Linked DNA regions of Arabidopsis thaliana. The protein of the gene in region 2 interacts with the protein of the main gene of each other region in a pairwise test. Each region holds a gene or a part of one and is shown on either strand. Other genes may lie near its edges. The genes, in order: SK32, AT3G11150 and GSK1.

Region 1 (11,628 bases), on a different chromosome or scaffold from region 2:
TGAAAAATTCGATGAAAATGAAGAAAATTAGGATCTCTAGGTTATTAATTGGGTGATCACTAGACGAAGAAGCTCAAGCATCTATGACTCTTGTTTTTTAGCCATTACTCGCTGCACCCACTTCACTGTCACTCTCAATATATATTTTTTTAATCTTACTTCTCCAAATTTGATCTTTCTCTAGTCTTTGTTTTTCTCCTAAATTTTTAATTAGTCTTCTCTCTCAAACGGTATTATTTTCCTTTTTATAATCTGATTTTATGTCAGAATAAGAAAATGATTTGAATAGGCATTTTCTTCCTCGAATTTTGATCCCCGAACCTTCCGAGATTGCTAAAATTTTATGGATCCGGATGCTTCTCTTTCTGTCGGATTCTCTGGATTAGATTTCAAGTTTTCGACAAATGGGTCCGTTTCCAAAATCGAAAAAACTCATTTACTCATTTTCATATATGTTATTAGTATTTTGATATCTATTTCCCAAGAAGCATCTGTCCAAATTTATTTGTGCGCATTTTGGAAAGAACACATTAATTTCATATGCATGTATTGAAAAAAGCTTCTAATCATCGTTTAAATAAATCAATTTTTCATGTTTCTATTCCTTTCTTCCATGCGGCCTCGTATATCCCGTCTCTATCATCTTCAAATAGTATAGTAAAATATTTATTTCAATTGTCTTATTATCTTGAATTTTTATCCTATTAGCTTCTATTAAAAATTAACATATTATCTCATCGTGCAAGTGTATTTTTAAGTAGACCGTGTTTCGGTTGGTTTGCTTGTTCATATGGATTTGATTTCCGGTTTGTGCAGGTCACGTGGGTGGAGCATGCAGAATACGACGAGAACCAAATCCACCAGCTGTACAGGCCGTTGCTACGGTCAGGCCTTGGTTTTGGCTCTCAAAGATGGCTCGCTACACTTCAGAGACAGTGCGAGTGTCTCGCCATCCTCATTTCTTCCTCCGTTACATCTCACGACAACACATGTCCGTTTCTTACACACTTGTCATTATGCTTAACATAATTAATCTTGTCATTATGTTACAAAACTTTTGACCATTTTACATGCAAAAGCAGCAATAACGCCTGGTGGTCGAAAAAGCATGCTGAAGTTAGCTCAACGCATGACGTTCAACTTCTGTTCGGGAATCTCGGCGCCGTCGGTCCACAATTGGAGCAAGCTCACTGTTGGAAATGTTGACCCGGACGTTCGAGTTATGACCCGTAAGAGTGTGGACGATCCAGGAGAGCCTCCGGGGATTGTTTTGAGTGCTGCCACTTCTGTTTGGCTACCTGCTGCACCACAGCGTCTGTATGATTTCTTGCGGAACGAACGGATGAGATGCGAATGGGATATTCTATCCAACGGTGGTCCCATGCAGGAGATGGCCCATATCACCAAAGGTCAAGATCAGGGTGTCTCTCTGCTCCGCTCCAATGTAAGTTTTTCCATATCACGTACCACTCCTGGTTTAACATTGCTATTCTAACCGGTTAGTAGATCTTAGTTCAGTAAAACCGGCCTATAGAATAGAGTTCCGGTTTAGCTAAGAAGTGTGTGTGATTGGTTCGAGTTTTGTGGGGAATATGGATTAGGTGATTGTGACGTTTTTGTCCATGGAGTTGATAGTGGTATGAAGGACAAAAGAGTGGATTGGTAAAGGACAAGTTAGGAATTTGGGTGATATCAAAAGATGACACTATAATTTCAATTTATATTTGTTTATTAGTAAGTAGAAAACAAAAGTGTCACAGCTTTTGTAAGCGTTTCAAAAGTCAAAATTAATAGGACAGTTTCAACCTTTACTTAGCTTCTGTAGTTTTTGACTTTTCACCACTTCCTTTTTTTTTGTTGGGTCTATCTGAAAAGTTGTTTTGACTTGTTTTTCTTTTAACCATGAAGCGTTACTGTTTGGTCAGAATGGCAATTCTCGTAAATAAACACTTTAGCTGAGGTTGTTTTGGTTTTGTCAACTCTACAGGCAATGAACGCGAATCAGAGTAGTATGCTAATTCTTCAGGAGACATGCATTGACGCATCTGGAGCGCTTGTAGTATACGCGCCTGTCGACATTCCCGCCATGCATGTGGTGATGAACGGTGGTGATTCATCCTACGTGGCTCTCCTTCCGTCCGGTTTCGCTGTTCTTCCTGACGGAGGCATTGACGGTGGTGGGTCAGGTGATGGTGACCAGCGACCGGTTGGTGGTGGATCCCTCTTGACAGTGGCGTTTCAAATCCTTGTAAACAATCTCCCAACGGCAAAACTCACGGTTGAGTCGGTGGAGACTGTCAACAACCTAATATCATGCACCGTTCAGAAGATTCGTGCCGCTTTACAATGCGAAAGCTGATCTTGATCAAGACTGGCGCGTGCGTGTGTTTCTTTTTCTTAATGAATTGTGAATTTTTATATAACTTGTTTTTTTGGTCTTGTACTATGGGAGGGAGGGGGTGTCGAGTCAAGAACGAACCGCGCGAGTGGGCGAGATCCAACTCCTTTGTCACCGTGATGGGACAACGACGTAAAAGGGTTCGGGTCCGATCACGGTGGAGGAGTTGGTGGTTCGGGTATTGACTGGGGTTTGGAAACCCCCTCTTTACTCTTTTTGTTTGTGTTTGTTATTTTTATTATGTAGCGCGAGTAAGCCACACGCGTGGGGTGTGTTGTGGTTAGAAAACGCGAACTGTGAGATGATGATGTTATGTTGGATGGGATCTGTATCGTTTCAAGTTAAAAAAAAAAAAAAAGCTGTCTCTCGTGGAGCATTAAATGTATTTTGCAGGCATATTCATTCATTTAATGCTATACCTTGTCTCCTTCCTTTGCATGATATGGGGCTTACGTATTCCGCCATTTTCGTTGCGCCACGTCATTCCCTTGACAGACTGGTGCGATGAACCAGACGTTACGCCGTCGTTTTCTCCCTTCTGTTTGTTTGGTTCTTTTCTCTTTCTCAATATGTTGTTTTTAAGTTGCAGACAGGAAAAGAAAAACGTAAGCAAGTGAATTTAAATAGCTGTACGGTGGTGGGCTTTATTTTAAAGCCCTGGCCCGTTATGGCTAATGATTCCTAGATCTTATAACATTAATTGGGCCTACAACAATATCATGTGCCATTATTTATCCGTTCATTTTGCAAAGACTTTAGATTGATACTGCACTAATAAGCCCATAAGGCAAGTGAAAAATGTCATTTAATCCCCCAACTTTCAAAAAATGGTCATTTTATATATCAACTTCGTATGTGGCCGTTTAAAACATGAACTAAAGGTTGACTAATTTTTTAAACATGATCTTTCGTTGACCAGACTAAAATAGACATGCCGTTATCAGTCATTAACGGAACTTCTAATGTCCGTTATCATCCGTTAATTTTATTAGTCAAGTTTCAAATTGTGGCCATTTTAAACATCAACTTCTTATTTGGCCATTTAAAACATGAAGTAAACGTTGACTACCATTTAAGACATGAAAAATTCGTTGACCAGGCCAAAATAGACATGTCTTTATCAGTAGAACCTAGAAACTCGTTAATGACTGCTAATCTATCCAAAACAACGTCGTTTGAGAATAATCGAAAGAACATAAAGATTTTTTCCATATGAAATTTCCATATCAAAAAGTTTTAAGCAGAACCCAAGAACATAGTTTGATATAGAGATAACCGCAGTGCCAGTAATTGGAAGCAAATAAAGGTGTTTTCGTTTATATATTTGTTTTAAATTTTAAAAGGAATCATGGAAGCAAATTGAAGACTCATTATAAGATTGTTCGTCTTGTTTGAGCGGTTGTAGAAATAGATTTGGGGAACTGGAGTTTCATTTAGAAAACAATCCTGATTTTCTTTGGATTATTCTCAAAACAAAGTCATTTTAGGGATACTAATAGAGTCGTTAACAAGTGATAATGAATGTTATAAGTTCTTTTAATGAATGATGACAACATGTTTATTTTGGCTTGGTCAACGAATTTCTCATGTTTTAAATGGTAGTTAACTCTTAGTTCATGTTTAAAATGGCCACATATAAAGTCGATGTTTAAAATGACCACAATTTAAAACTTGACTAATAAAGTCGTTAACGGATGATAACAGAAGTTAGAAGTTCCGTTAATGACTGATAACGGCATGTCTATTTTGGCCTGGTTAACGAATAATCATGTTTTAAAAGTTAGTTAACGTTTAGTTCATGTTTTAAACGGCAGCATACGAAGTTGACGTATAAAATGACCATTTTTTGAAAGTTGGGGGATTAATTGACATCTTTTCCCATAAGACAATGGTTCAATCAGTAATAACCACATCCTCATTAACATTCCTCAGATAGTAAACTAACCAATATATGTTTTATTTTACTTCGTTTCTCAATCTAATAGATTACTTGAATTGTTTATAGATTACCTCATAGGATGATGATAATTAATAGTTTAAAATTTTGAACAGAGACATTATTAAAAATGTCTAAAAACAGTAAGAAATTACTAAAATTATCTGTTGCAGGAGCAAAAAGAGGGAAGTGGTCAAAGATGGTCAAATGAAAATAATACAGTGCCCGCATATTCCGCGTGGGCTTAGATGCAATCATTCAAAACCCCCAAATCCTTTTGCCTAATCCCGGGATACGTAAATAGACAAACAATACAGGGGTACTTTAGTAATCACAGCTTGTCGAAATCGGGCGGATTCATCCTAACCCGTCGGATGAGCTGCTGCGATAAATCAACGGTGAGGAGTCAATGTTTGACCAAAAAAAGAGTAGAGAGAGATAGAGAAAGAGAACGAGGCTGGCATGATTGGCTTTGCCCACGAGAGAGAGAGAAAGATTCCACCTGGGTTGGGTCGTGAAGAAAGAGAAGAAGAAACCGAAGAAGCTCGAAGAAGAACGAAGGAGATTCTTCCTTTCCCCAGATTTTTCGTTTGAAGAAGAATCGAAAAACTTAGATTTTTGGTTTTGCTTTCGGAGTTATTCGAATTTGAAATATCTGAATCTGTTGATTCATTTATTCTCCGCATGAAGCTGTGTTGGTGAAGTTTTTCGGAGATTTAGGGTTTCTGAGTTGTTCCTCGTTTGGTTGGTGAATAAAGCGAAGATGAACGTGATGCGTCGTCTCAAGAGCATTGCTTCGGGTCGGACCTCCATTTCTTCGGATCCTGTAAGTATCCATTTTCAATGTCTCTCGTTTCAAGATCAGATTGATTTTATATTTCTGATTGTTGAAATTTTTCTCTCATTCTCATCCAGAAATTACGGATTGATGTCGTTTATAGTATGTTACAAGTCAAATTTAAGCTTTTGAGATCTTTAGTTTTAGATATTCTAGTAAATGCTTATGTTTTTGTATGAATTTGATTATCTCTGCTGTTTCATTGATTTTGGATGAGTATGTTGATGTTGACCTGACTAATTTCGTGTTTTTGGTGTTTGTTTTAGGGTGGGGACTATGCGTTGAAGAGAGCTAAGCTGGATCAAGAGAACGACAACTTGTGTGTTGATCCAATGCAGGTTGACCAAAATAGTTCTTGTTTTGAGATGAAAGCTGACGTTTTGTCACAAGAAAGTGTTGCTGGAACGTCAAATGTGCCTGCTGTATCGGAAAAACCCGTGGATGATCAGCTTCCCGATGTTATGATCGAAATGAAGATTAGAGACGAGCGAAATGCCAACCGCGAGGATAAGGTGAGTTGCTTAATCAATGTATATATCGTCGTCGTGATCTCCATTAGCCACTGCTCACATCTTCATTTGGCTTGTGAAGGATATGGAAACAACTGTTGTAAACGGCAGTGGGACCGAAACGGGACAAGTTATTACGACGACAGTTGGGGGTAGAGATGGAAAGCCAAAGCAGGTCATTCAACTAACTTTTTTTCTGATTGCCGTTGTGTTTGAGAAAAGCTATTAATCATGATAGTCATTTCTTTTATGAAAAGATTGTTTCTCTTTTCACTTCTGTTGGGTGTATCTTTAATTTACTCTTTCTTTCTTGTTTCAGACTATCTCATACATGGCCCAGCGAGTGGTTGGAACCGGCTCATTCGGAGTAGTGTTCCAGGTAGGTGGAAATTCTTATAGCAGGAACATAACTAATCCTTAACTATTTGTGTTCCCAGAATTTGACTTTCTGTCTGATTTTTGGATAGGCCAAGTGCCTGGAAACGGGTGAACAAGTTGCAATTAAGAAGGTTCTGCAGGATAAAAGATACAAGAACAGAGAACTTCAGATCATGCGTTTGCAAGACCATCCCAACGTTGTGCGGCTGAGGCATTCTTTCTTTTCAACAACTGACAAGGATGAGCTGTATCTCAACCTTGTCCTTGAGTATGTTCCCGAAACTGTATACAGAGCATCGAAGCACTATACCAAAATGAATCAGCATATGCCAATTATCTTTGTTCAGCTCTATACTTATCAGGTGAGTTCTATTAGCTCTCCGGTTACTCGTTTCTAGTAATCTGTGTAGCATAAAGCTACAAATACATAGGAAATTTATAATTTCACTTATGCTGATTTTGTCATTTCTGTTGCTTTGTTGGATATCAGATTTGCCGTGCGCTGAACTACTTACATCGCGTGGTTGGGGTGTGTCACCGTGACATTAAGCCACAAAATCTACTGGTATAGTGTGAATAATTTCTGCTTAAAGGTTGGTAAGACGTATGAAAGGATAATTCATTGATTCTCTTATGATGTGGCTTTCATAGGTTAATCCCCAAACTCATCAATTAAAAATATGCGATTTTGGAAGCGCAAAGATGTTGGTATGTTCATTTTTTTTTGATGAGTTCTTGGAGATGAGTTATCATTTGAATAATGATGGCTAACACCCTTTGCGTCTCAGGTACCCGGTGAACCTAACATATCCTATATATGCTCCCGGTACTACAGGGCCCCAGAACTTATATTTGGGGCGACAGAGTATACCAATGCCATTGACATGTGGTCCGGCGGTTGTGTCATGGCAGAGCTTTTACTTGGTCAAGTAAGTATATTATACATTGTAGAGTTTCGGTTATGATGAACCATTTTATTTTGATTGATCAGTTTTCATTATTACTTCGAAATAACATTTAATCTGATAACAACTGTTGATTTTCTACCCGTAGCCACTGTTTCCCGGGGAAAGTGGCATTGATCAGCTGGTGGAGATAATCAAGGTACTTAACCTGATCCCTCGTGTTCCTTCATCTCTCTTCTATATTTAATTTACTAGTTTACTCATCTGTACATCTACCAGATTCTTGGGACGCCTACAAGAGAAGAAATACGGTGTATGAATCCGAATTACACAGAGTTCAAGTTTCCTCAAATCAAAGCTCACCCGTGGCACAAGGTTTGTTAAATAATCGCAGGTGCCTCTTTGGTGCGTGTGCTTGTTCAAATGAAATTTAATGTAGCATATAACTCTTCAGATTTTCCACAAGCGAATGCCACCTGAAGCAGTAGACCTCGTCTCAAGACTCCTTCAGTACTCACCAAACCTTCGTTGCACTGCAGTAAGACTAAATCCTGCTGGACACCACAAAACTATATAATCTCCTTGGCTGATTTGGAATTTTCTAACTCAAATTCTACAAAACACTTTTTTTCCATTTGTTAAGTTGGAAGCTTGTGCACACCCCTTCTTTGATGACTTACGGGATCCAAATGTTTCACTGCCAAATGGAAGAGCACTGCCTCCATTGTTTAACTTCACTGCCCAAGGTCAGTACATATATTATCTTTTACCTTAGCTTCATCCTTACAAAAACTGTGAAGTTATCATTAGCCGACTTTGTTTAGATTTCACAATCATATGTGAAGAGTAGAAATTGCAGCAGAATACAAGAAATGTTTTGACGGATTGGGTCTACATTTGGTTCTGTCACATTGATTTGTTGCCATTGTATGTGACTATTCAGAACTTGCGGGTGCATCAACAGAGCTGCGACAGCGTCTAATTCCAGCACATTGCCAGGGAACGGGAAGTAGCTCTTAGGATCATTTATAGCGTGTCCAAATCCAGCTTTCTTTCTCTCCCTCTATTTACTGCAGTGTGTACATCAATTTTGAACCACTTCTGCTTCCAAGCTTTTGTCGCCGGAGGAGAGATTGGAAATCTGTACGCCGGGACCTGATGAGGTGTGAAATAACTGGGGTCATGAAGCTTCTTCTTCTTCTTCTGACTGGCTTTTCTCTCAATTTGCTATCCTTGTTATTTTCACCTTCACTTTCATTTTTTTGTTTTTTTTTCCACAAATCTGACCCCCCTTATATGTTTGGTGTATCATTTTTATGTGTTTGTAATCCATCAAGATCATTTTCCCTTGCCCTAATATTGCAAGCTAAGATTCCGTTTCATGTTCCTCTCTAAGATGGTTTTTGGGTGAACAAATAAACTCTTAACGACATTTTTCTATTGTATCTCAGGACTGGCACAGATTCCAGGTAAGCTATTTAACTGAAATGCACATGTTGTTTAATTAAAGTTGAAAAGCGAGGAAGATGAATGAAGAGTTAACTAACTTCACAATCGGACGAGTAATTAAACTATACTGTAGGAGTCGAAAGTCCTGTAACTTTGACACGAATTTGTGTTTGGTTAAAATTTTGAATAATTTACTCAACTATTGGAATTTAACCACAAAAACCCCTTTCACTGTCGAATATCTCTTTAGTCAAAAGACAAGAGTTCATACATGTTTAGTCTGTGTGACCTATAGATCAAAAGAAACAAAACCCTCTTTTGGTTTCTGCAATAATGGGTTTTTTAGTACAATAAAGTTTCAGGAAATGGATTTCAAAGCTAATAAAGGAAATGACTCCTTCAATTCAATGCCCATAAAAAGAGGCACAAGAAGGGCAAAACACCTCATACAACCAGAAGAAGAGGGTCTATAGTTTTGCATTGCTCTTGAGTGTTTTCCCATCATTGTGCTCAAAAGATTCATACCCCTTTTACTTGGTAAGATGTTCTTTCATCTTTCCCAACAAGAAAAATCTTAAATGCTATATATCTTACTTCACTCGGGGAACTCCATTCATCTTTGCTTCAAGGTTCGAGCCCTCTTTCAGTGCGATTTGAGATTCCTTCTCCATTCCCAGGATACCAAGGGAAGCAGACTGCAGATATGATGCGACATGCCACACGGGAGAGATCACTTGAGCCTGAATTGCATCATCTAAAGCTTCTTTCGGCATGTCACTCATTAGGTAACACAGACTACGCCGAGCACACACTGTTGGAGAGATCATTCCTCCATCAATAAACTGTCAAAGTTTCAAGAAAGATAATCAGGCTAATGCTATGTGTTTGTCTACTTCATTTTATGTACAAAACAAAACTCGACCTGTGTGTAACACTCGATGGCCTCTCTAAAGTCTTTTTGCCTGAAAGCCACATCACCCTTCTTCTTCGAGTTCAAAGACTCTTGCATCTGGTCTGTCCACATATGAAACGAGAGCTGCATTGCCAAACCAAAGTAACGCAACACCATGAAGAACCAAGAAAGAAACTATTCACTGATTAACAGAGCCAAACCACTGATTCTTCCAACATAATTCTGAAAAGGTACCTCATTGGTGACACCCTCGTCGTCTTTGTATCCAAGTTTCTCCAGGATCTCAAGCATAGCGGTCAGGTCCCTTCTTGAACAAGCCTCACCAAGAGGGGACAGAGGAGAGACTGAACCACTGTGAGGTAGACCCATTAGAACATGAGACAGGACCTGCAATTTACAATACAAGGAAAATTATCTCGAGTTAACAAAAAGAAACTTGGTCCAAGTTATTCTAATGGCTCGGAAATCAATAGAAACCTCTGTCTCCTTCTGAAGAGGTGTCAAGGCAGTCACTAAAGATTTGGTGTTTGGCCGCTCACGAGCTTCATACTGAAGACAACGAGAAGCTAGGCGTACTAGCTCTGTACCATCACTATCAGAAAACTGCCCATCTAGGCAAGAATCAGTTAGCGTCTGGAGATTTCTGTCTCTAATCAGATCAAGGGCCTGTATAAAACAGATTGAAAGAATCAACCTTCACCTTTTCAAGTAAAAGCTGCAATCTCGTATGGAAAACAAACTTATTATGGCTAAAATACTTACATGGCTAGGAGGTATATGTTTTCCGCTGAGAAGATCAAGCAGAAGAGTGCCAAAGCTGTATATTACACTCTCTGGAGTAATTCTCCCTGTAAATACAATAACAAACAGAACGTGCAACTTAATCTCAACCATATGAATCTTGGAGAAAAAACCAATGATGTACCAGTTCGTAGATATTCAGGAGGGGTGAAAGCAAGATTAGTGCTGTAACTTTTTCCATCCCGACTATTCTTCATCAAGCCAAAAGTAGATAGTCTTGGATTGCATTCCTTATTAAAAGCCCCTTAAGGCGTCAGAGAATGAAGGAATAGCATAGAAACATAGACAGGTTTCGAAGAAAGAGGAAAAACTGCTTATATATAACTAATAAATACCTCATCAAACAAAACCCGGTAAGCATTGAGGTCGTGGTAAAGAGTACGGCCTTTGCTGGTGCAGTATTCAAGAGCTTGTGCTAGATATAAAACAACTCGTAGCCTCATAGTCCATTTCATAGGTTGAGTTTCCCCTAGTAGCATAAAAAGTACACTTAGACACCATAACTTCCAAGACTAGCATGGCAAGATTATTAAATGAAAGGCTATATATAGGAAAAATGATTCTCACAGTGAAAAAGGTGTTTGGCTAGTGTTTCATTAGGCATAAACTCTGCTACAAGTAACCTCTCGTCACCTTCGCAGCAACATCCGAGTAAATTGGCCATTCTCTCACTCCGTAGCTGACCAACCGACCTCGCTTCCTCCTGCACAAGGAAGAAGAACACATTCTCAACATCAAAATAAAAAGAGATGAAACAAACTACAATTTCCAAAGATAAGAACATACCAAGAACTGTCGTGAATCAGGCCAGGCCATTCTAGTAAAACGCTTGACAGCAATCTTCTTTTGGTTCTCCAATTTCCCTTTATAGACAACATTTGGAGCCTTTTCTCCATGTTCAGATACAATATACTCCACGGCAAAACCAGAAGTAGCTGCCTTAAGCTGTTCTAAAGTATACTCCCGGAAATTAGGAACATCAGTGATCTCACTACTCTCTCCATTATCTGCATCAATCAGACAATGTCTTATAGCTTCTTAGATCCAAGTAGAAAAAACACTAATTCATTGTCTTAAAGAAACTAACCAACATCAGGAGCTTCAAGAACAGCTGTCTTGTGTGAAGTGTTCCTGCAACAACTCAGGCTAGAGCATTGACCTCCCATCTAAATAAAACCACGCTCCAAAAAATATTCAAAGACTCTTGCTTTTTTCTCAGCCCAATGGAAAGGAAAGGTTTTGTTTCAATTAGGAGATGTCTCTTCGTAAACCCAGAAGCTGCAATAAAATTATACAGCCAATGAATGATCTTACCAAATCAAATCTTCAATAGTTTCAAAATCAGTGAAGTAGAGAAAAAAGGTCGTACCTTTCGACTCTACTGAGTCAACTCGACTAGTTAGACTCAAAATCGAAAGGGTAAATTTTGGGAATCGAAGCAGAAACAAAGATAAAAAAAAAAACCTAAAGCTGGAGCCAATCAAGAGGAGAAACCTATTAT
Region 2 (9,624 bases):
TAGTTTATAATTTGATTGTTTGCCAAATTAGCCGTTCTATCAAACATCTTAACTGGCTCAGAATCACCTGGAAATATCGAAGCAAAAATGAGAAACAACATATACATGATATGAAGAAGCTGACAGTAAGTTAAAGATATAAAACCTTCAATTGACCAATGATACACAGAAGTTTGTGTGACCAGTCCCAGCATCTTAGGTGTGATCCACTTCCAAAAAGCAACCTATAATATCCAAAAAATTCAGACCAGTAAAATCAGAGTCTGTCTGAAGAGTACAACATGAAAGATAATCGGGTTACAATTTGTTTGCTTCAAAATTCACCTGCTCAGGCATCTGATGTGACTTCAACTTTGCCTTTGCTTCAATGTTAAATATCTGTAGATGATCCTGAGTAGTTCCTGGAACTTGAGCTATATACGATACGAATTTAAGAAAAAGTTAACAACAAATTAAGGAAGAAATAAGTAATAGCTTATACAAGGAAACATCCAGTACAAACCAAAATTTCTAGTTTAACTACACTAAGCTTGAGACACAACACTGCCACGAGAAATATAACACGTGTTGGAAAACAGAGAGCGCTATACTGATGTTTTCTACAGCATTAAACATGCTATCACCCCAAATCCAGAAAAAGAGTATAGGACTACAACATAAACTCGAAGAGTGTAGTTACACTTCCATACTACTTTAATAAAAATAGGTTTTCTATCAAGTGACGCATCACAACATGGACAGAGTCATTTAAACTTCAAATAAATCAAAACATCCTATCCGTAATAAATAGCATATGTACAGTTAACAAAATGAAGGAGAAGCTATCAATGGTAGTTCTGGAGAAAACTTTAATAGGAACCACTTATGGGTCTTATAACTGATCATACACTTCAAAAGGAGAATCTTATGGGTGTTATAAGTGATAATGCGATCGAAGGAAACAGTGTAATACCTTTTAAGGCAAGGATCCTCGAGTTTGGGTTCATAAGAGCAGAATCAGCAGTTATAGGCCTCCTTAAAGGCTGCATCGGCATATTCATATCGATAATTACAACACTGTTCTGCGGTGCCGTCTCTCGTACACATATGTACTTATCAGACTCCATAGTAACATTTGTAAAGGTGATGAACTGTTGACCGATCCCAACGCTCGGAAGCTGGAAAATTTCCAAAACAAAAGTAATCAATTGGCATAGTTCATTAACTTAGTTACAAGATCCGAGTAGATAAGCACATTGCGCAACACAATAACTTAAAACTAAGGACTATATACATTCAGATAACACAGATCTGAGCGTCCGCAGAGAAAATCTGATCAGAGAACTTGATCTCAACGATCGGGTAGAATTGAGAACAGAATGAAACTTGAATCAATCATATAACAGTGTGAGCAGAACCAAATCGATAGAAATCAGAGACTACAACTATAGAAACATGTTAATCGTCCAAAATTTTAGCTCGATTCCCGGAGATTTAAAAACAGAGAACTCACCGTTAGGACCTCCTTCATAATGATGGGCGCGTTAGCAGCCGCCATGTTTGACCTCAGATCGCGGCGAGAGAATCCGGGGCCAGAATCAGATCCACGGAAAGGACGGGACCGTCAACGGCCGAGCGATGCGAGAGAAACTAAGGAAGATTTGAAATCGCAGCCAGATCTGAGGCAAGTGAAGGAGAAAGGTGATGATGGTGGAGAGAGATTCGTTTTTTTCTTTTTGGAAAGTGAGAAATGACGAAATAGCGATCCAATCGGAGTCACTCGTCGAATATAAGGAGAGAAACCAAAGGAGAGACGACGTGCTACAAGTGCCTGAGCTGTACGATGTGCTTTTGCCAAAGTTACGGGTTCGGATAGTATTCGGGTCGAGTTTCAAACCGCGTAAATCGACGGGTCGGGTTTTGTCACGACACACACTACTTTTTGGGAATTTTATGCGTATGTTTTGAGCAATGGTCAATGACTCAATCATGGTTAAAAATTAAGATGAACACAAACGAGAACGAAGTTTGAAATAAATTTTCTAAATATGGAGATGAAACAAAAAAAAAAAAACTTTTTACCAAAAAAAAAAAAAGATATACGAAATTTTCTATTATATCTTATCAAAATTAGGGTATGAAGACCAAAATATTTAAATTTATGTCGATTTAAGTGTTGCATGAAAAAATCGTATAAGAAATTTACGTCGATTTAATTAGTGTTTAGTGAAGATTGTATTACTTATAATTTTAACTCGAATTAAATGATATAATCAATTTTGATGTATATAATTCATTCTCACAAGAAAATTAAAGAGCAACACCAATATGGATCACTAAATAAGTAAACATGTATACGTAGATTTGAAGTCATTCATTGATATTCTGCCTCAATGAGAGATTAAAAGCCAACACTGTATTTCCTCATTTTCAAAAACAGGATGCTATAAGCGTTTGTGTCACCTTCTAATTATAACAAATAATCAACATTGGAAAACAAAAGTTATGAAGTAGAATTTGGTTATGATCTCAAAAGACTCAGTTTTAAAGTACATCATCAAAGTCATAGATTCTTCTATATAAAATCTAGGAGTTGAGTTTAGTGTGATAGAGTCATTGGTGTAACCTAAAAGTTTGATTTTGAAATAGTGACAGTTTTGATATGAGTATATATGAAAAAATTAGTTGAATGATGGAGTGACTATCAAAATAGAACATTCTCTGAACTGAATCGAACAAAAACAAAAATATCTCAATGCTAAAATGCTAACAATCCGCTGAAAATCAAAAGATTTTATGGGGGAAAAAAAGTAACAACAAGAACTATAGTACCAATTCAACCCAAGAAAGAAACAAACAAATCAAACATCGGTTCGTCAATCTTTTAAAGATTTGATTCTGTATCTGTCAAGTGGATCCCTGAAGAAGAGACGTTCTTGGTACACTCTCCATGCGTACTCCTTGAAACTAAAAGGCCTAAATGCCCTTCTCTCATCACTTCTTGCTCCTCCATCTTCTTCCTCCTCCTCTGCATACTCTTCTTCTTTGTCGCCGTCACTGATCATATCCTTCAATGATGAAACCATACTGTCCATGGGAAGTGTAAGCATCAATGTCATTGTTACACACTTTACTGGACCATCTTTTTGTCCTGAACACAACACTGGTCGATATTTCACTCTTTTGACCTCTCCATTTCTCCAAACCTGCCAATTTTAAGTTGTTTGTTAGCTGTTCAAAAGTTGAAAACTATATTGTAGAAAGCTGTTAGGTTTTGACCTAAAAAAAAAAGAATTGTTGAATTCTATAGGACACTAAGTACAATTGCGATGTGATGTGTATAAGTATTTAAATATCGGAAATTTCCAAATTCTTATTTCTTTCCCAATGCCATAAATCTGTTTCAAACGAAAAGTGAAAACACATTCCCCGGTTATGCTCCACAATTGTTGTTGTTGTCAACAATAAATATCGGAAATATCCAAATTCTTGTTCTCTTTTTGAACGATGCGTTGGAAAACATTTATTTTGGATAATGTTTAAAATACATTAAAACAGCCAGTTAACGGTATAGTGGAATAAAGTTCCATTACAAAGGATGATAATTTGATAATTATTTAAGGAAGACAACTAACCAATTAATTATAGATAAATAAAAGAGATATATGTGTTCTGTCAATTGTCAAAAGCAAAAGAGAACTAACCTGAGCAATGTCACCCAACGTCACAAGAACCGAGTCAACTCGGGGTAAAACGGACACCCAACCAGACTCGGTTAGCAAACAATACTTCTGTTCCCTTATCTGATACTGTAAACAAACAACAAAAGGATAAAATCCGTTGGTTACCTCCGGTTCATCATCAGGAACACCTTGGTTAACCCACATCAGAGTATTAAACCGGGTTGAATCATATCCAAACCCAAGTGCATTCGCCAGCATCTCTACCGTCTTCAGTCCAACTTTCTCTAGAGTCCGAGTGAACTCACGGAGCGAACTCAGATTTAACTCGCTCGAGTCGGTTGAACAGTCGGCGTCAAGGCAAAACGATGGCGTTTCAGCATCGGCTTCGTAGCCTAGCGGCCATTTCTTCGGAAACGATGATTCCTTCTTCTCTTCACTGAGCTCTAAGAGCGAGAGTGAGTCAGACTCGGCTGCTTCAGCGATCCCAGGAGGGAAAAGAATATCGGAGTCATCGTTAATGAGTTGGAAATAGCCGAAATCAGTCACGGCGGAGATAAGATCGTCCCATTCAAGTCTATCTCCGGCGGAGAGAGATACCATCGGAAGAGAAGGGATGGAGCGACGGTTGGGGAGTGAAAGCAAAGGAGGGAGACGGTGGAAAAGACTGGAGAGAGCGTCAACTGCTGTCTCCGATTTGCTGGTGGTGTTGAGATGTGAGCATGACGGGGTCGGAGGAGGCGCCGCCGTGGCTCCACCGTGCTTGATCAAAGGTTGGTGGTGGTTGAGGTGAGCTGAAGAGAAAGCCATTGAAAGATGGATGTGACTTTGGAAGAGGCAGAGCGTATATGTGAAAACATATGTATAACTTGCGTGTACGCATGGAATATATAAGGCTTTACTCACACGTGCGGGATTATGTATAACCTAATTTTCTACCATCTTATTTGTAAAAATTAAAAACAATATCACCATTCACCAAGTACATTTATCATGTTTTTTTTCTTTCAATGACATAAGTTTTGCATATTTATTTTACAATTATTATGTTATTTTTTCCGATAACACGTTTTTACATGCTTGTTTAAACTAGAGGCGGCAAATATTATTTATATGTGGGTTTGCCATTACAGATTTTAGCAATTTTGTTAAGAAAATTGTTATCTAACAACATAGAGGAATGATTAATTACGGAAATTTGTTTTTTGGTTGAACCGATAAATATTCTTATATGTGTTTATTAGTATTTTAGAATCGCAAAATGAAGGAATACACAAATATAACCAACAGACAAGAAAAACATGATAAAATCATCTTTATACAAAATTGATATTTGTTGAATTGTTGATGTGTATAATGAGGAAAATATGATACAAACTAAGTAAAAGATCTTTTGTATAGTAAAAATTTGGGAAAACGATTCTCTTTTTTGAAATTACCACAAATATTATATTTTACTAAACATGTATTTCCATGTATGAGTAACCTCATCTGTACGTGTATCTATTAGAATCATAAAATACTTATCATGAGAATGTATCTGCATAAATAGATGCTGCTAGCTAGGTGTACAGAGAAATACTAAAACAAGACAAATATATAGTTCGAAATTCCTATTTTGGTAGTGGAAAATTAATAGAAATAATATTACATTTATTTGGATGTAAATAAAAATAATAACTTAAGGGATTTATTTCGTTAATAAGAAAAAATACCTATTAAATAACCAATCAAGCTAGTGTATGGAATGCTGTCATGATCAAAGAGTTTGTAATATAGTTGTTATTTGCATGCGCATATATATAACTATATAAAGTTCCTGCACTGTTCCCTTGTAAAGTTTTGGTTAGTTGTCGAAAATATTCTCAACTTTTTCGCGTATATTATTCCTAAATGTCCCTTACTTTGGATATGGTTGTCTATGGACCATGGTATCAATCCAGACTAGTTGCATAATTATCAATCGTTTCTCTCCTTTCCTTCTTAAACGATTTCTTCAAACTTCTGATCACACAAACTCGGTGCTGTATCTAGCAGTGTCAATGGAAAGCCTTTGCTTAACTCAACAAGACTTTCAAGTAAAAAGCACCAAATTAAGCTCTCGATGTCGAGAAAAATACTCGGATCCAGTAATGGAAATCCGTTGGTGGAGTTATGAATTGAAACAGTACTTGTCCGGTGTCGAAGTAAACTGTGTGTGTGATTTACTCGTTGCGCGACATTTAAATGATTAGGTGGTTATTATTAACAATCCATAAACCAGGCATCAGAATCATCGACAGAAACAGATTCTCTTAATTGATGATTATTCTGGTCTCCACGTTGAACATTTACAAAGCTTGAAGATAGTTAGGAATCAGACCAGATGCTTTTCCTTAGATCATCCCAAATACTCCACAATGACCGGATACAAAAAGCTTGAAGATAATTAGGATTTTTCCTTCTCCCTAAGATCGATCAGACCACATGCTTTTCCATAGATCATACCACATCTTTTTCGTTAGATAATCCCACATCTTTTCCTCCCATAGATCAGACGACCTGCTGACTCCCATAGACTCCCATAGATCAGACCTCATACGCAACATCTTTTTCCTTATATCAGACTCAGACCACATCCTTGACGTAATCCTAAACCACTCCTTATCCTTTAGTTCTGGCCACATCTTCTTCCTTAAATCGACGTGGTCTCCCGTCCACTGAAACACACATAGAGAAGAAGATGAAATAATAGCAATGGTCACAACAACGATGTCTTTTTATTAGTATTTTTTTTTCCTTTCTAACTAACCTGTCGCCGATCTGCCTCAAGTTCCGATACGTTTCCCCCAACCACAATATAACCTTCACACACACACAAAAAAAAATAGCAAGCTGACTAATTTCGACTCGACTCGTAGAAAGAATGAAAGAAAATCTAAAGTATAAAATATATCTCATCGATTCATACCTAAGCCCAATCCCAGAGCCATCCCTGGACCTCGAATTAAAAACATCTCTCTCTTCCACTCTACAATCACAAATGATATCAACAAAACGGTCAAAAGATTTTTGTTTTCCTTGCGACAAATACCTCGAAACCAAACCTACGGTTGCAAATTTGAACGTTACCTCTGCTACTGCGGGACGTATAGAAATTGCGGCACTGTAAGGATTTCGTCTTGATCAATAGATCGCACAAAGAAAAGAAAAAACAAAAGGGATAATCATGAAAAAATCTTCGATTTACCTGAGCGATTACGGATCTCAGATTGTTGTTCGGTGGCATGATCGAAAATTAGGGTTCGCCTCTGATTTGTGATTTTCTTCTCCTCTTCAAAAAAATGGGTAACATTGTCGAGAGTAACATTGACGGATATCTCGAGAGTTCCGTGGTTCAATGGGCTTATACTATTGTGCCCTAGCTGAGTTACTCTCATTGTTTATTTCATTCACAATCAGTTTATATTCAATTTAATAATATTAAAAAAAAAAACTTGAATCCCAAAGTCTGTTCCATTGTTACTCAATTAATGTCGACATTCACCTGAAATTTTATATGTACAGTATGTACTTTGTTGACAAATTATCCTTGCACTGAATTACGGAATTGATCATGAATGTAAATTGTGTGCCTCTAGTTATTTTCTGATATGTTTTTTTTTTTCATTTTTTTTTTGGTAAAAGGTTAAGTTTTATACCATTTTTGATTTTGGACAGAATTACAGAGATTACATGAAACAGATTAAAACAATCTACAGAAGATAAATACAATATTACTACTCAAATTGTTTTGGATCGCTTCTAAGCGTTCAAGACCAAGTTACGAGATGAAACACCGATTCCGAGCTCGCAAAACTTAGAAATTTGCGTGGTTGCCACAGAGCCGAAGCACTGGAATCCTCATCTTAGTTGCCACGAGCTAAACTATTCGAGGGCCGTCCACAAAACCTCGATATAGAAGCCTACAACTTCTCCACAAAACCTCGATATAGAAGTCCACAAAACCACGAGCTAAACTATCTGATTTCTGATATGGTTTTGGTCTGTTTGATTTCACACAACACAAATCAAACATCAGCACAACCATAGATTATAGTATTAAGTTTGTTTCTTTTCCCACAACATCGAACAAAAGACGAAACACAAAGCAACATCACAAGTTCACAATCACAGATTATAATGAGCATGTTCGTTTAGTTACCGCCGGCGGTTGCGTTTTGCCGCAGGTAGTTGCGGCAACTAAACGAACATAAATAGCTGCGTCTGCCGCAGCCGCAGGTAGTTGCGGCGACGAAACGAACAATCTAATTAATTCATTTTGTTCACAAAAAAAAAAAAACTAATTGTCTGCTTTCTTTTCTCGTGGAGTCAATAAAAGGACGAGCCAACTAAACGGATCCTGCTGTACTTCCTGAAAGAGTGAAAACACTTTAGTTTTTAAGAAACAAACAAAAACTCATAAAATCTCCCAAATGTTTATAGAAATCCATACCACTTCGGGAAAACGTTCTCTCAGATCTCTCTCCATCGTTCGAAGATATTCGAATACCTGGATTGTTTCTGGTGGAAACAAAAAAAAAAGATCAAGGATTTGTTTTTTTTCCAATCTCTAATTAAGAAAAAAAAAACTAAAAGAAATTGACGAAATATCTGAACATTACCCAACGCACAGAAAGCATAAAATCCGTTCATTACCGATGGCACAAAATTCTTAAACTCAACGCCGACGTAAACAATTCTTTCGGCTCTTTTCGACCCTTCAAAATCGAAAGAAGAATCACAAATCGAAACCCCATGTTCCGAGAAAATTACACTTGCGAATTTTGATAGATTATGATCAGAAGAACGTTACCTCTGCTACGACGGGGAGAAGAAAAATTACCGCGTGACCTCGTAGAGAAATTTCGGCTCTGTAAAGATTTCGTCTTGTTCAATAGATCGAAAAGAAACCAACACAAAAATGAAAGAAAAAGATATAAATCTTCGATTTACCTGAGCGATTATGGATCTCAGACTGTTGTTGAGTGGCATCATCGGAAATTAGGGTTCGCTCTTCTTTTCTTCTTCGCCTCTTATTTGTGATTTTCTTCTCCCCAAACTGAAAGAAATTCATGCGGAATCAGAGAACGTTACCATGGTGGGATGAAGATGAATTGCGGCACTGTAAAGTTTTAGTCTTGTTCAATAGATTGCACAAAGAAAGTAAACAAACAACAACAAAAAAAAAGACTGTAGAAAAGAAAAAAAAAAAGGATAATCATAACGGAATCTTTAATTTACCAGCGCGATTAAGGACCTCAGATTGTTGTTCGGTGCCATGATCGGATATTAGGGTTCGTTCGCTCTTCTTCTTCTTTGTCTATACGCGATTTGTGAGAATAAAAAAGGTCGGATCTTTTGAGAGTTCTGTAGTTTAATGGGCTTATACTATTGGGCCCTAGCCCAAATGAGCGACACTATTGTTCATTTTGTACAAATCTCTTGGGCTAATTTATTTCAGGCTGACCAACTAATTTGGTCCAACTAGTTGGGTTTGGCATGTTTAATTTCAATTTCCACTTGGTTCAATTTTTATGTTCACCGTCCATGTAACTTGACTAGTAGCATGAGATTTGGTTTGTCCCTATTGAAACAATAGGTATAGGGTGTGAAACATTGAAACGTAATTGACTCAAATTCTCAAATAGGTTTCTTCACCAAACTCCTCTTGTTTTGTCTAACAATCTTATATAGTCACTAAAATAATGTGTATAAATTTTGCTACCGTCATTTAAAAGTTAGTGTCATGAAACATATGCCTCATTATATTTTATTATTTTCGTTCACTTTATTTCAAAGGCTTTAAACTATATGACATCATAACCAAAACAAGAATTAAAACGAGATCAATCAAACCCGTGTTGAAACCTCAACTTGTGTCTAAATTGACCGTCACAAAAAAAAATCTCACATCACACCATCACTAATAAATTTCCTTCTCCTT
Region 3 (11,696 bases), on a different chromosome or scaffold from region 2:
GACCAGAAATGTTTTAGCTATTCTTTGTGTATGTTGCATAAGTAACACGATTGTTCGGATGGAGCAACATTATAGTAAGGTGTTATGTGAACCGTAGAAAGTTTCTGAGTAATACATAATTTCAAAAATTTATAATCTAATAAAAAAGTAAACTTGATATTTTTAAAAATCAATACAAATATCTCTAATTTTATAAACTCTCCAGGTTGCTAGCTAAGGAGTAGTAGCTACATTCATTGAAACCCAAACTTAAGAAAATGAAAGTAAATAGTATCTTCATCCTGAAGATAAATTTTAGAAAAGTAGGTGTATACTGTTTATTGTTAATCTTGTTAAATTGTAATTAGAAAACTGTATTAAGTTAAAAATGATTATGTTGTGAGTGGAAGTTGTTAACAATATATGGAGAAGATTTCCTAAAATGTGCAACTAATTAAGCGGAATCATCTTTTTAAAAATTTAAACTTTTTCTGTTCAAAAACAAAAAGAAGAAGAAAAAAGGGTGATTTAGAGCCAACCCGACAAAAGCTTTCATCGTCATCATCTGAATCATTAATTCATTATCATCAAATAATACAGCAGCAAGCAACACAGTAAAACCCAATTCCCTAATCCCAAAATTCGATCTCTCATCTGATGGCTGGTTACAGAGCCGATGAAGAGTACGATTACCTCTTCAAGCTCGTGTTGATCGGCGACTCTGGTGTCGGCAAATCGAATCTGCTCTCTCGGTTCACCAAGAACGAGTTCAATCTCGAATCCAAGTCTACTATTGGTGTTGAGTTCGCTACCAAAACCACTAAAGTCGAAGGCAAAGTCGTCAAAGCTCAGATTTGGGATACTGCTGGTCAAGAGAGGTCAGATTACGTTTCCTCTCTTGCTTTTTTTTTCCTGCTTACTTTATTGAAAATCCTTAGGATAAGGTTTTAAAAAACCATCCTTTTTGGCTCGATTTCGTTGTTGAGTTCTTGTTGGATTCGCTGTTTATGAATTCATGGTGTTTGATTTATGTATCTGAATCTGTAGCCTGATTTGGATATTACAAGTTCAAAGTGTCTTGTTCATTTTTCCTTGTTGGTTTACTAGTTACGACTATTTGTGGCAGAACTAGAGTTTTCTGGTTTTCGGAACGAAACTGGTTGTGTCTGAATTTGTAAATCTCTTAGACTTGAGCAACTTTCAATATGGTTCAGAATCTCAATTGTGCTGAATATCGCTCGCAGGCTGCAGTTTACTCGGAATATACTTTTAGGTTTTATTCACATTTGGGCTACTAATGGTTTTCTTTTGTGGCATAGCTTCTGTGTTTGTAAGATTCTTGTTCATAGATCTGTATCCCTCATATATGGGTCTACTTGATTAGCTTATTCAATCCTCTCCTGTCTAGGTCAATTCCCGTTGTTAAAATGTTGTTTGTAGATATCTGTTATCTAAACCTCGGTTACTATACTAGTATTGTGCTGTTCCATCCGTTTCACACATTGATATTTGTCTGAGCTCGTCTGTGATGAACTTCTGAACCCAATATACTTGTTGAAAACAACATTTCTTTCATCTCCTCTGTCTTGTCTTGCACTAGACATAGATAACATTTTGAATTTTGCAGCAGAATTCTTCATTAACTCTGCGATTGTAACTTTACAAAGTAACCATTTGGTAGATGGATACCATGTAATATGGTTATCGAAAATAGTCTAACTTTGTGTACTTAATCTGTAATGTTACTGAACTTATTATTGTAGTTGTTATTATATCTTTGTTAACAACATCTGAGAAAATGCTGGTTTTGTTTATGCTATGATAGATACCGAGCAATCACAAGCGCTTATTACAGAGGAGCTGTTGGTGCTTTGCTTATTTACGACGTGACAAGGCACGCAACATTTGAGAATGCAGCAAGATGGCTAAGGGAACTAAGAGGACACACAGACCCAAACATAGTGGTGATGCTTATAGGGAACAAGTGCGATCTGCGTCACTTGGTGGCAGTCAAAACAGAAGAGGCTAAAGCCTTTGCTGAGAGAGAATCCCTCTATTTCATGGAGACTTCAGCTCTAGACGCAACCAATGTTGAAAACGCATTCACGGAAGTGCTCACTCAGATCCACAAGATAGTGAGCAAAAGAAGTGTTGATGGAGGAGGAGAGTCGGCTGATTTACCGGGAAAAGGAGAGACGATAAACGTTAAAGAAGACGGATCGGTTCTTAAGAGAATGGGTTGCTGCTCTAACTAGAGTGGGGGGATTGTAGATTTGGCTTGATTTGGTTAGGGTGAGACAACAAATGATAATCTCTTTGGGTCTTGCAATCAAAAAAGAAATAAGAAACGATTACTTTTAAGATCATGTGTATGCTTTGGTAACTTTGGCCTGTAAGGTCCTTTAAAATTTAAGTACATGATTGGTAATTTGTTTTCAACACTCCCACCACTTGTAATTTGTAAACTTGTAATAAACTGAAGAAATGCAAATCATCACCTACGTAACATTTCGAAAATAGATCTAGCGACTTTTAATTTAAGAGGATGATTATTTATCCCTCTAGTCTTTTGTGTTGAGAGAAGAAAACAAAAAAACATCTGTAGCTAATCTTTTGGACATGACATGGTTTAATATTATCACCTCGTTTTTCTTTTGTCTCTACGTATCTGTCAGAATTGTTTTACAGACAAAAACATATACAAAAATACACGAGGAACAGTGTCTCTCTCCACTCTCCAGGCTACGGAATAAAAAAAAAAAAAACGCAATTATCAGCATCTGATTTCTCAAAAAGCTGAATATGACTTTACTACGGGTATAGAAGCTGATAATAGTCGTGGTTAATATACTGTTGAACCTGTCAACTATCAAATAAAAGTAGTAAACCTGCTTTTCTCCTCTTTCTCTTCAGACATGCACAGTTTTTAACTGTTTTGTAATCCTGTGCTCATTTGTCGTCTCACATGCTCAGGTATTAGCCTGTTGATTAGCTCCATTGAAGCTCCACCTAACTGTTTCCACATCCAAAGAACAAATTGGGTTATGTTGAAGTTCCACTAAAGAAACATCATCCTTTGCTATTGATTTTTACCTCTTGTTTGAAATTGAACAATGGCGGTAATGGACGACCATTTGGAAGACGGGCGTTTGGCTCTCGGAGTTCATTGAAAAACGGATGAGCACATGCTTCGAGCTAAAAATAGACAGAGAACAAGACAAATGTTAAAATGAATCTTAGCTTTATCCAACACTTGGAAGATTCAAAAAGAGTTATCACTGACGACTACTTTCGATTATAAAAAAAAGAGGGAGATACTGACCGCAGTGCAGCGTAGACTTGGTGAATATTGAAGAAGCCGAGATGCAAGGTCTATTGCTTCTGGAGGCATCCGTTTATGAAAAACCTGGAGGTCAAGGGTACAGTATATGGTTGATGCTATAAATGAATCGCTTCAATGTATACTGTGTAGGTAATGAGTTCAGTAATTGCTTAACCAGGAACAAAAGGTGAGATGAACTACCTTGTGCCAAGGGTGAGCTTTGATTTGTGGGAACCTAAAATCTGTGTAGTTCGGGTTCATACATCGAATTTCTTCACGAGTTGGAGTACCAAGAACCTAAAACAAGGTAGCAAGTGTACTTATGGTAACATATTTACTAGATTCTAGTCTAATACCAAAGACAAAAAAGAGCACATCCATTAGTCTAATAAAGGAGACTTCACCTTTATGATCTCCACAAGCTGATCAACTGAATTTTCTCCTGGAAATAACGGCTGTAGAGAGAGAGAGAGACTGGCTTAATATAACATTGGGTGCGCACTTTTTGCATTTTGCAGAGACTCTTTATTTAACAAGGTAATTAACGCATAAAAATCCACACTAACCTGGCCCAGAAGAAGCTCTGCCAGTACACAACCAGCAGACCATATATCTATGGATGCTGTATACTCTGTGGCGCCAAAGATCAGTTCTGGAGCACGATAATAACGGGAGCAGATATATGATATGTTTGGTTCACCTTTGACCTAATAGTGAATTACCAAAAATTTAAAAGGGTTACCAAAACAGAGAACATGCTGCTCGCACTTAATGGTATAACTCACACTTATATGGTAGCTCAGTGAACTAGATGCGTAGATACATAACCAAGCCGAAAACACACAAAAAAGGTGAGATAATGAAAAGATAACACCCTTACCAATACTTTTGCACTTCCAAAATCACACAGCTTAACCTGATGGGTCAAGGGATCAACCTACAGTATGCACCAGAAAGTGAGATCCAGAAATAGTCAAGATTACAAACCACATGGCATGCTAGATAACGTACCAAGAGATTTTGTGGTTTCACATCTCTGTGGCAAACACCGGGAACAGTATGGATGTAAGCCAAACCTCTAAAGATCTGCACAATAGATATTTCAAATCAGTTTCAGAGTAAATTCTAATAAATTATAATATTTGTGAGAACTAACTGCAAATAACAGTACATACTTGATATGTGTAAAGCTTGACATAGAAAATTGGCATCCTCTGATTAGAACTAGTATAGTGCCTCAAAACCCGGTATAAAGTCTCAGGTACATACTCCATAACAAGGTTGAGGAAGAGCTCATCTCTACTCGTTGTAGAGAAGAAACAGTGCTTCAAGGAGATGACATTTGGGTGATCCATTGGTCGCATTAGTTGCAACTCACGGTTTTTATAGCGTCGATCTTGCAAGACCTTTTTAATGGCTACTGATTCTCCAGTTTCCAAGCATTTCGCCTAAAATCGTAAATTTCAGACTTGATCAGAAAGAAAGAAGAGAATTTATGTCCTGGAACCGCTAGTACAGAGAAGCACAAAATACCTGAAAAACAATCCCGAATGAACCTGTTCCAACAACCCGCTCAGCCATGTAACTAATGGTCTGTAGGGGACAGAATGAAGATCATGTAAGGGAGAGATGAATTAATTTGACTTGAAAAAGGGTTTTAATGGGAAAGTAACACTTGCTGGAGCATTTGATGCGAAATGAATAACCCAGACCCCGCAGAAACCTTACACATGGTACTGTGCTATAACCGTAAGTGTTAACTACTAGTTAGTTATCTAAGAGATTTTGCAAACATTAGCATCAAACCTGCTTTGGTTCGCCGTTTTTGCCTCCAATAGTAGTGGAAATGATATGACCAGTAACAGCGTCATTTCCCTCAATAACAGCTGCAGACATTTCCTGCAATCCACCTCACATATTAGTATAGACATTAAACTATTTTGATCAACTACAAGGTGGAATAGAGATGGCAAGCATTTACTGCATCCGATTATTTCAACAAACCTCAGGATAGGTATGACTGTATGAGAATGCTGTTATTGCTATTATACAAGTGGTCGGAATTAACTTATATTGAAAACGTGAAGCTAACACATATAAAATGTACCAACTAACCAGTTGTCAAGCCAATAGAAGCACTCAAGCAAGATGCAGAAAGAATAAGAAAAATAAAGTAAAGCATGGGTTAACCAGAGGTAAACAATGGTGATAGAAGTTCAAAAATGTAGTGATTTTAGACGTCAAACAATTTATGGGTATTAGATATAGAACAAAAAAAAAAATCATAGATACAAAATACAAGTCAATGGAAGAAGTTCTGCCAGAGTGAAGGACAAGCCATAAGACAAAATTCAGAATAAATGTCGATGGCAAATAGAAAAGAGAGAGAGACAGAGACAGAGAAGCAATGGGCCAAGAAAACCATAACTAAAGGAATACTCCGAAACCTACCGAGAGTGAATTCAGAGATCTACAAGTAAACTGTACTTTGTAGAATGAACAGTGTTGAAATAAATAATATCCAAACAAGCAAATTGTTGTACTTGAAAGTGAACAGTGTTGAAACAAACAATCGAAATATCCAAAAACAAATATGAAGGGGAAATATTCAACCTAGTTTACTGAAAATGTAAGTTTCCCAAGCGCAAGAAACTATCTCAAATTATTTTACACTAAATTTTTCAACAAGATTCGAAGATTACTGCTACTTAGATCTCCGGTAGAGAAGGTTGAAGTAGTAGCTGGGAGATACCAAGAGTAATCTAGCTACTGCATGCATACAAATGAAGTAAAAATCACAGTCTCCTATCAAAACGCCTCGTCGGAGAAAGAAACAAAAAAACTCTCCGGTGAGCTCAGATCAATACAAGCGACGAACAAACACAAGAGCACGAGAATATAGATCGATTCGACTGAACTAAGACATAGAACAAAGAAAGTAGGAGCTAGATCGGAGTAGATCTAGAACAGCCACCAAACGATAATTTCAAATGCACTGTTTACCAAACACAGACGGTAACAGTAACACACAAAACAAAGAGACGGGGAGAAATAAACCTTATCAGAATCCAATTCAGGACGGCGTTTCAAAGCGTCGCCGTCGTGAAGCTGCAGCGGCGGAGCAAGAGCATGAGGCTGAGGCCCCAATGGTAATGAGGCCATGTGCTTTTTTACTCTTTTCTCTCTCAACCACTGAACAATGAGTAAAGTCTAATTTTTCCTCTCTCTTTGCTTCTAAATTTCAGAAATGGTTCAAAGACAATGGAGGACCCACGGAAGACTAGAGCGCGTGAATGTAACGGTCCAATGAGAAAACTACTTTTTAATTGATAAAGCACTGAAAAATTCTGATAAACACTTCCTTAGCATTTAATGATAACTAAATTACTAAGTTGAGTTAGAACTCCATTAAATATTCTAACTGAATAATAATGGTATCAAATGAATGAATACTCCAATCATATTTCCCAATTTAGATATTAAGCTTAACTTAAAGAGACTTTTCTTTGTCCCTTTAGCCTGAAGTGTTGCCTTTGTAAGACAATAGTTAACGATAGATTCTTTTTCATTACACTAACCAACAAAAGAATTACAGTTAGCATTCATACAAAGATAAAATTTAAGTTGCAAAGGGCTAAAAAAAATGACGATGAGACTAGTTTACGAAAATGTAAGATTAACAAGCAGTAGTGGGGAACGTAAACTATACAAAAATAAGACTCTGAGTCAAAGGGATTGGAAAGTGAAAAGATATATAACCGTTACTGTGATATCGAACAAGAACAATTGTCAAACAAAGAAAGATCAATGGAATCTACCTTTGTGGAGAGTAATTCAATAGAGTAGGAAAACTAATATTCTTTCCAATACATCACCAAAAACCATCTTTTTTAGAGAATTCATGTGACTATATATCTGCATAACAAAAGAAGATACCAGTAAAATCAATCAAAAGACCCACTCATGGAAATTTGTATTAAAACCATCTGTTTCACTCTAATCAATCTAGACAGTTTTGTTCAGTCTAGGCATTATCTTAAACATTACAGCATCACAAATTCCACTAAGAAAACAAACCAAAACTTGTGACTCACTGGAACCAGATCATCCATCAGCTTCTTTAAACAAATTCATCAAGCAACTGATTGATAAACAGGCAATGCCAAGCTCTCAAGTAACTTGAGATGAAACAATTTAACATTCTTCCATCTACCAGGAACTAAATCACCAATCCCATTCATGGCCGCTACAACATTCTCTGCAATCTCGTTCCTTCCCATTGACAACTTCGCTACTTTAACAACACTGCAAGTACCTGTACCAACGAAGAACAAAGCTGATTCACAAGCTTTTTCGATCTGCTCTTTCCAACTACCATGCCTTAAGTTAATCGCAATCGGAGTCTTATTCTTCTTAACAAACTCTTTCCCCAACAGCTTCGGCAACATCGGCATTAGCCTCCTCTCCGCGAAATACAACTCGAATCGCTTCTCCTCCTCTAATTTGCGTAAATCGGATTTCAATTTGGAGACTTTAATAACTGTGGTGATTGGAATCTTCTCTGCTTCGATCTTCTTCAAAGCCGCTTCCTTTGTGATTTTGTTCTTGTGTTTGTCGTCGATGATCAAACAGAGCTCCGGCGGATCTTCGGCGACCAGATCGATGAGAGGATGAGGAAGAGGGATCATCAAGGGGTTAGTACGATCCAACTGAGGGATTCTCTTCAGTGTCACGATTAGATAGACGAAACCGTCGTTCTCGAGTGATTCAGAGTTCTCGGTCTTGGATTTGGAGTCCCACCATTTTAGCAGAGACTTCACGGCTCTGTTAACGTTCTGCGGGTCAACCTTCGACTGGTGTCGCTGCGGAAGTGCAGCCGTAGTAGTAGTAGTACTCATTCTCCGGTGAGAAGACGGCGCAATGAACACAGGTTACGTTTGCGGAATTAGGGTTCTGAGCAAAAATTATAGGGTTTACGATTTTTTTCTTTTTTTTTTCTTCTTTCGACATTTTATTCGATTTTTTTTTTTGTAAAACTCAAAAATTATATGCGTTTTATTAATGATGCGCCACTTTATCCTTTTTTCTGGGGGTAAAATTGTCATCTGCTCAATCGTTTTCTCTGACCGCCGGCGAAACTCTTCGCGCTTCCCCGACTGCCGGCGAAAATCGACGCTGCTTCCCGTTTCCGGTTAATTAAGAGCTTTCCTCTGTACCTCTTCAACTCATTGTAGGCTGCGTCTTCTTCAATGGCAACAAGGAAGCGGAAGAACGCTGATTCGTGTAGTGACGCTCTTCTAAATCAGAGCGAATTCGATCTCCGAGGCAGATATTCTTATTCAATTATCTCAATCCCTTGGCACCGTATTCTGGTAATGTTTCCAAAATAAAGATAAATTGCAATCGCTTTAATTTTCTGATTTTGTGGTGAGTGATTGAACCTGTGTCAATTCTATGCTGCTGAGTGTTTCTCAGGTTGATCATAATGGATAGGTGCGCCGTGCGGTCATTTGACATTGCGTCCCATTGTATAAAGTTCTTCATGTGACGGGCCTTGATACTACTTCCTACGTAATGGTCAGTATACTTCTTCATTATTTTACAAGAAATCTTGAATTGTGGTATTAACAATGTGTTGTTACTTTTGCAGATGATGTAAAAGCTTTTTTGGTCTACTAAGAAGATAAAATTAGAACCTGTTAATATTGATTTTGAATATAGGCTTCTCCAAAATCTGATGTTACTGCAATTCCAATAAGATTTGCCTAGGTTAATGACGAACAAAGTGAAGCCAGCTCACCATTACACTATGTTGATAGTTCCTAGTTCCTACTATGTTGAGAGGTTGATGTAACCGGAAGTGAGTTAGAGATCCCAGATCCCTCTGTTTCCTCTTTATTCGTTTTTGCATTTTAACTCTGCAGCTGTATTCTTTAATGTTAGTTTTAATGTTTTGTATTGAACATTTCATTGCGCTTACTAGCTTCTGCTGTGTTAGGTCTTTGGTCCTCGGTTTCACCTGTCTGTTGGACCGTATGATATGCTGCTCATGGGTCATTGTGCCTCTCAATTTTCTGAAGCTTCCTCTCATCCGGTGGAGACTATTACGGAACTCGCTCATGGCACTGGTACTATTTCCTGTCATGCTTTTCACTTTCACACTTTTTTTCATTGCGGGAATTATCAAGTCTACAAATCAAAAGCTTTTATCTCTTATCCAATGGATCTTAGCAGATATATACAGCATACTCTGCCATAAGTAATTCAGGTAATATGGATGTACTTGAATAAATGTAAACTACACATGGGAACATCTTTTCATTGTGAATTATGTTTTCCATGTCGTTTACTCTGATTATGAATGACAGGTTTGTGCTGCCTGTGTTACCCATAGCTTTGATATTCTCTGGGTATACATTTGCTCAAATGGAAGCATCTGATTTATCATCAATCATTAAAGAGAAGCAAGTCCCTGGAAATAACCATATCATCAAGTGGTCTCCTAAACTAAGACTTCCAGTCTTCATTTTGCCTGCTACCAATATCCCGAGGCACTACACATGAGTTTATTCTATCAAGTTAAAAAACTAAACACTCTAGTTTATGAGTTACTCTCTTTTTCTTTCTTTCTAATTGTGCTAAAAGGAATTCTTGTTTTCTCAATGGACACGAACCAAGGATGCGATGTACAGACTTATCGGAAAAAAGGATACAAAGGGAGAGTAAAGAGCATTCTCTCTCTCATGCCAAGCCATTCGACTCCTTATTATTATTATTCCACTCTCCATAGTAACATTCCAATGCGATTTCTCGACTACACACCAAGGTAAATGGATCACGCCCCTGAGTCACAGTTTTTGCTTCTATGCGATTCTTAAGGATTCTTCTTCTTATTATTTTGAAACAGCGAAGACATTAGGAGATTTTGATGAGTCAGACCAATTCTTAATGGACCTTTTAGGATTGGCATCAAAGTTAGCTAGAAATTGGCCAGCACGACCGCGTCACATATTATTGTTTGCATCGGAAGCAACAAAACTCAGAGGTTTTATGATCCACTATTCCTTCCAAGAGGCAAGTTGAAAAGCAGGACCACCATTTTTTTCCAACGCTGATGTTATTCGTTTAGTAGACTAAAATCTGTTTTGTTGGCAATGAAACAGGTCAAAAGTTTTTTCCACACACATTTCAAGGTTTATAGATACATCAAATCAATCCCCACTAGTCATCTATGCTAAAAAATACTGACTCGGTCTAACTTCGCGTGTAGCTTTTTTTTTTTTTTTCCTGTTACCAAAAAACACCTTGATGTTATGGTGTTTCTGTCTGAACCACATGAATGCACTAGTTGATCAGGTCGGTACACAAGTTAAAAAAACGAACTCAACGAAAATGTCAAAAATTCTCAATTATTCTATTTGAGTTTTATTTTGAATCTGTTTTACTCTCTTAGATCATATGTTCGAGTTAAGAGCTTTTAATTTATAGCCCCGCGAAGTTTCATGATCAAATCTCAACAACTTTCAACATCAGAACCCAAGAAAAAATAAATCATGTTTTGGATCAAGGAACGTTTGTTGATTCTCATATATGTCTGGTTTTCCTTAGGGATTGATGCCCACACGGAAATTAAGTTGTCTATCTACCACAAAAAAAAAAAAAAAAAAAGGTAGCTACCACATTAAATTTCTCTGGTTACGTACAATCAATGTTAAAAGATTTGTTGTTTCAATGTAGCTAGGTCTCACCTATATATGGATTCCTATACGGGGTTTTTACATACCGTATATACTGTTTTGTGAGTTTGAACTTAATACTAATTGACAATATTTATATATTAACCCACGTACGTTTTTATATTTCATGCTACTGCTATAGAGATTTCATCATTAGCAATATGAAATACCATTCTTCAATGTTTAATTATGAATTTATGATCAATCAAAACTGTGTACTTGCAATACAATACGATTTAACAACGCTAAGTGATGTGACATTATAACTGTGGATCCATCAGATATATCGAAAACAACAGTCCTGCAGATCGTATTTTTTGTGGGATTGACTAGTTTCTTGTAGATTAACATATTGCTGGAAATTTAATTTTAACTAGTTTATAGTTTGTTTTGTCCCAAAAAAAAAAAAAAAAAACTAGTTTATAGTTTGTTACGTTGAATATTATAAGTTTAATCGATATTATCGGATCTGTAGAACGCTAAGCATTATGAATGCCGTAAAACGAATCTTTTTATATAGATGCGCATTCAATTATTTTTCAATGCGGTGAGCGTAGGGCAGTTTGGTAGTTAGCAAGACTCATAACCTGCGGCCACACAGGTTCAAATCCTGTCCCCACAACAACATTGTTTTCTAGATTCCATCATGGTTACTACAC

The links.
Region 1: the proteins of AT3G11150 (region 2) and SK32 interact in a two-hybrid assay, tested with the Arabidopsis thaliana proteins (one large-scale study listed by BioGRID).
Region 3: the proteins of AT3G11150 (region 2) and GSK1 interact in a two-hybrid assay, tested with the Arabidopsis thaliana proteins (one large-scale study listed by BioGRID).

The regions. Positions count from the first base shown.
Region 1 is NC_003075.7:290,472-302,099, reverse strand, and holds SK32 (shaggy-like protein kinase 32), read left to right. Parts: upstream 1-4,620; 5' UTR 4,621-5,097; coding exon 5,098-5,160; intron 5,161-5,438; coding exon 5,439-5,684; intron 5,685-5,763; coding exon 5,764-5,856; intron 5,857-6,000; coding exon 6,001-6,060; intron 6,061-6,148; coding exon 6,149-6,421; intron 6,422-6,549; coding exon 6,550-6,624; intron 6,625-6,710; coding exon 6,711-6,767; intron 6,768-6,847; coding exon 6,848-6,988; intron 6,989-7,112; coding exon 7,113-7,163; intron 7,164-7,243; coding exon 7,244-7,339; intron 7,340-7,418; coding exon 7,419-7,502; intron 7,503-7,607; coding exon 7,608-7,710; intron 7,711-7,907; coding exon 7,908-7,984; 3' UTR 7,985-8,512; downstream 8,513-11,628. Other genes in the region: ANL2 (Homeobox-leucine zipper family protein / lipid-binding START domain-containing protein), read left to right, coding at 817-991, 1,083-1,444, 1,988-2,359; BSK3 (BR-signaling kinase 3), read right to left, coding at 9,004-9,255, 9,336-9,449, 9,561-9,713, 9,804-9,992, 10,089-10,174, 10,252-10,357, 10,463-10,596, 10,695-10,830 and 2 more.
Region 2 is NC_003074.8:3,490,131-3,499,754, forward strand, and holds AT3G11150 (2-oxoglutarate (2OG) and Fe(II)-dependent oxygenase superfamily protein), read right to left. Parts: upstream 4,524-9,624; 5' UTR 4,470-4,523; coding exon 3,684-4,469; intron 3,186-3,683; coding exon 2,856-3,185; 3' UTR 2,674-2,855; downstream 1-2,673. Other genes in the region: AT3G11130 (Clathrin, heavy chain), read right to left, coding at 1-67, 146-224, 325-413, 953-1,157, 1,493-1,537; AT3G11160 (uncharacterized protein), read right to left, coding at 6,107-6,358, 6,451-6,503, 6,610-6,669, 6,771-6,804, 6,889-6,927; AT3G11165 (uncharacterized protein), read right to left, coding at 7,816-7,945, 8,036-8,052, 8,134-8,201, 8,303-8,398, 8,634-8,739, 8,922-8,960.
Region 3 is NC_003070.9:1,941,627-1,953,322, reverse strand, and holds GSK1 (GSK3/SHAGGY-like protein kinase 1), read right to left. Parts: upstream 6,578-11,696; 5' UTR 6,464-6,577; coding exon 6,359-6,463; intron 5,201-6,358; coding exon 5,108-5,200; intron 4,895-5,107; coding exon 4,835-4,894; intron 4,750-4,834; coding exon 4,477-4,749; intron 4,388-4,476; coding exon 4,313-4,387; intron 4,239-4,312; coding exon 4,182-4,238; intron 4,009-4,181; coding exon 3,868-4,008; intron 3,757-3,867; coding exon 3,706-3,756; intron 3,599-3,705; coding exon 3,503-3,598; intron 3,386-3,502; coding exon 3,302-3,385; intron 3,175-3,301; coding exon 3,073-3,174; intron 2,993-3,072; coding exon 2,906-2,992; 3' UTR 2,473-2,905; downstream 1-2,472. Other genes in the region: ARA-2 (Ras-related small GTP-binding family protein), read left to right, coding at 637-857, 1,805-2,234; AT1G06380 (Ribosomal protein L1p/L10e family), read right to left, coding at 7,435-8,199. UniProt on the Arabidopsis thaliana protein: Phosphorylates BSK1, BSK3, BSK5, BSK6, BSK8 and BSK11 in vitro. May mediate extracellular signals to regulate transcription in differentiating cells.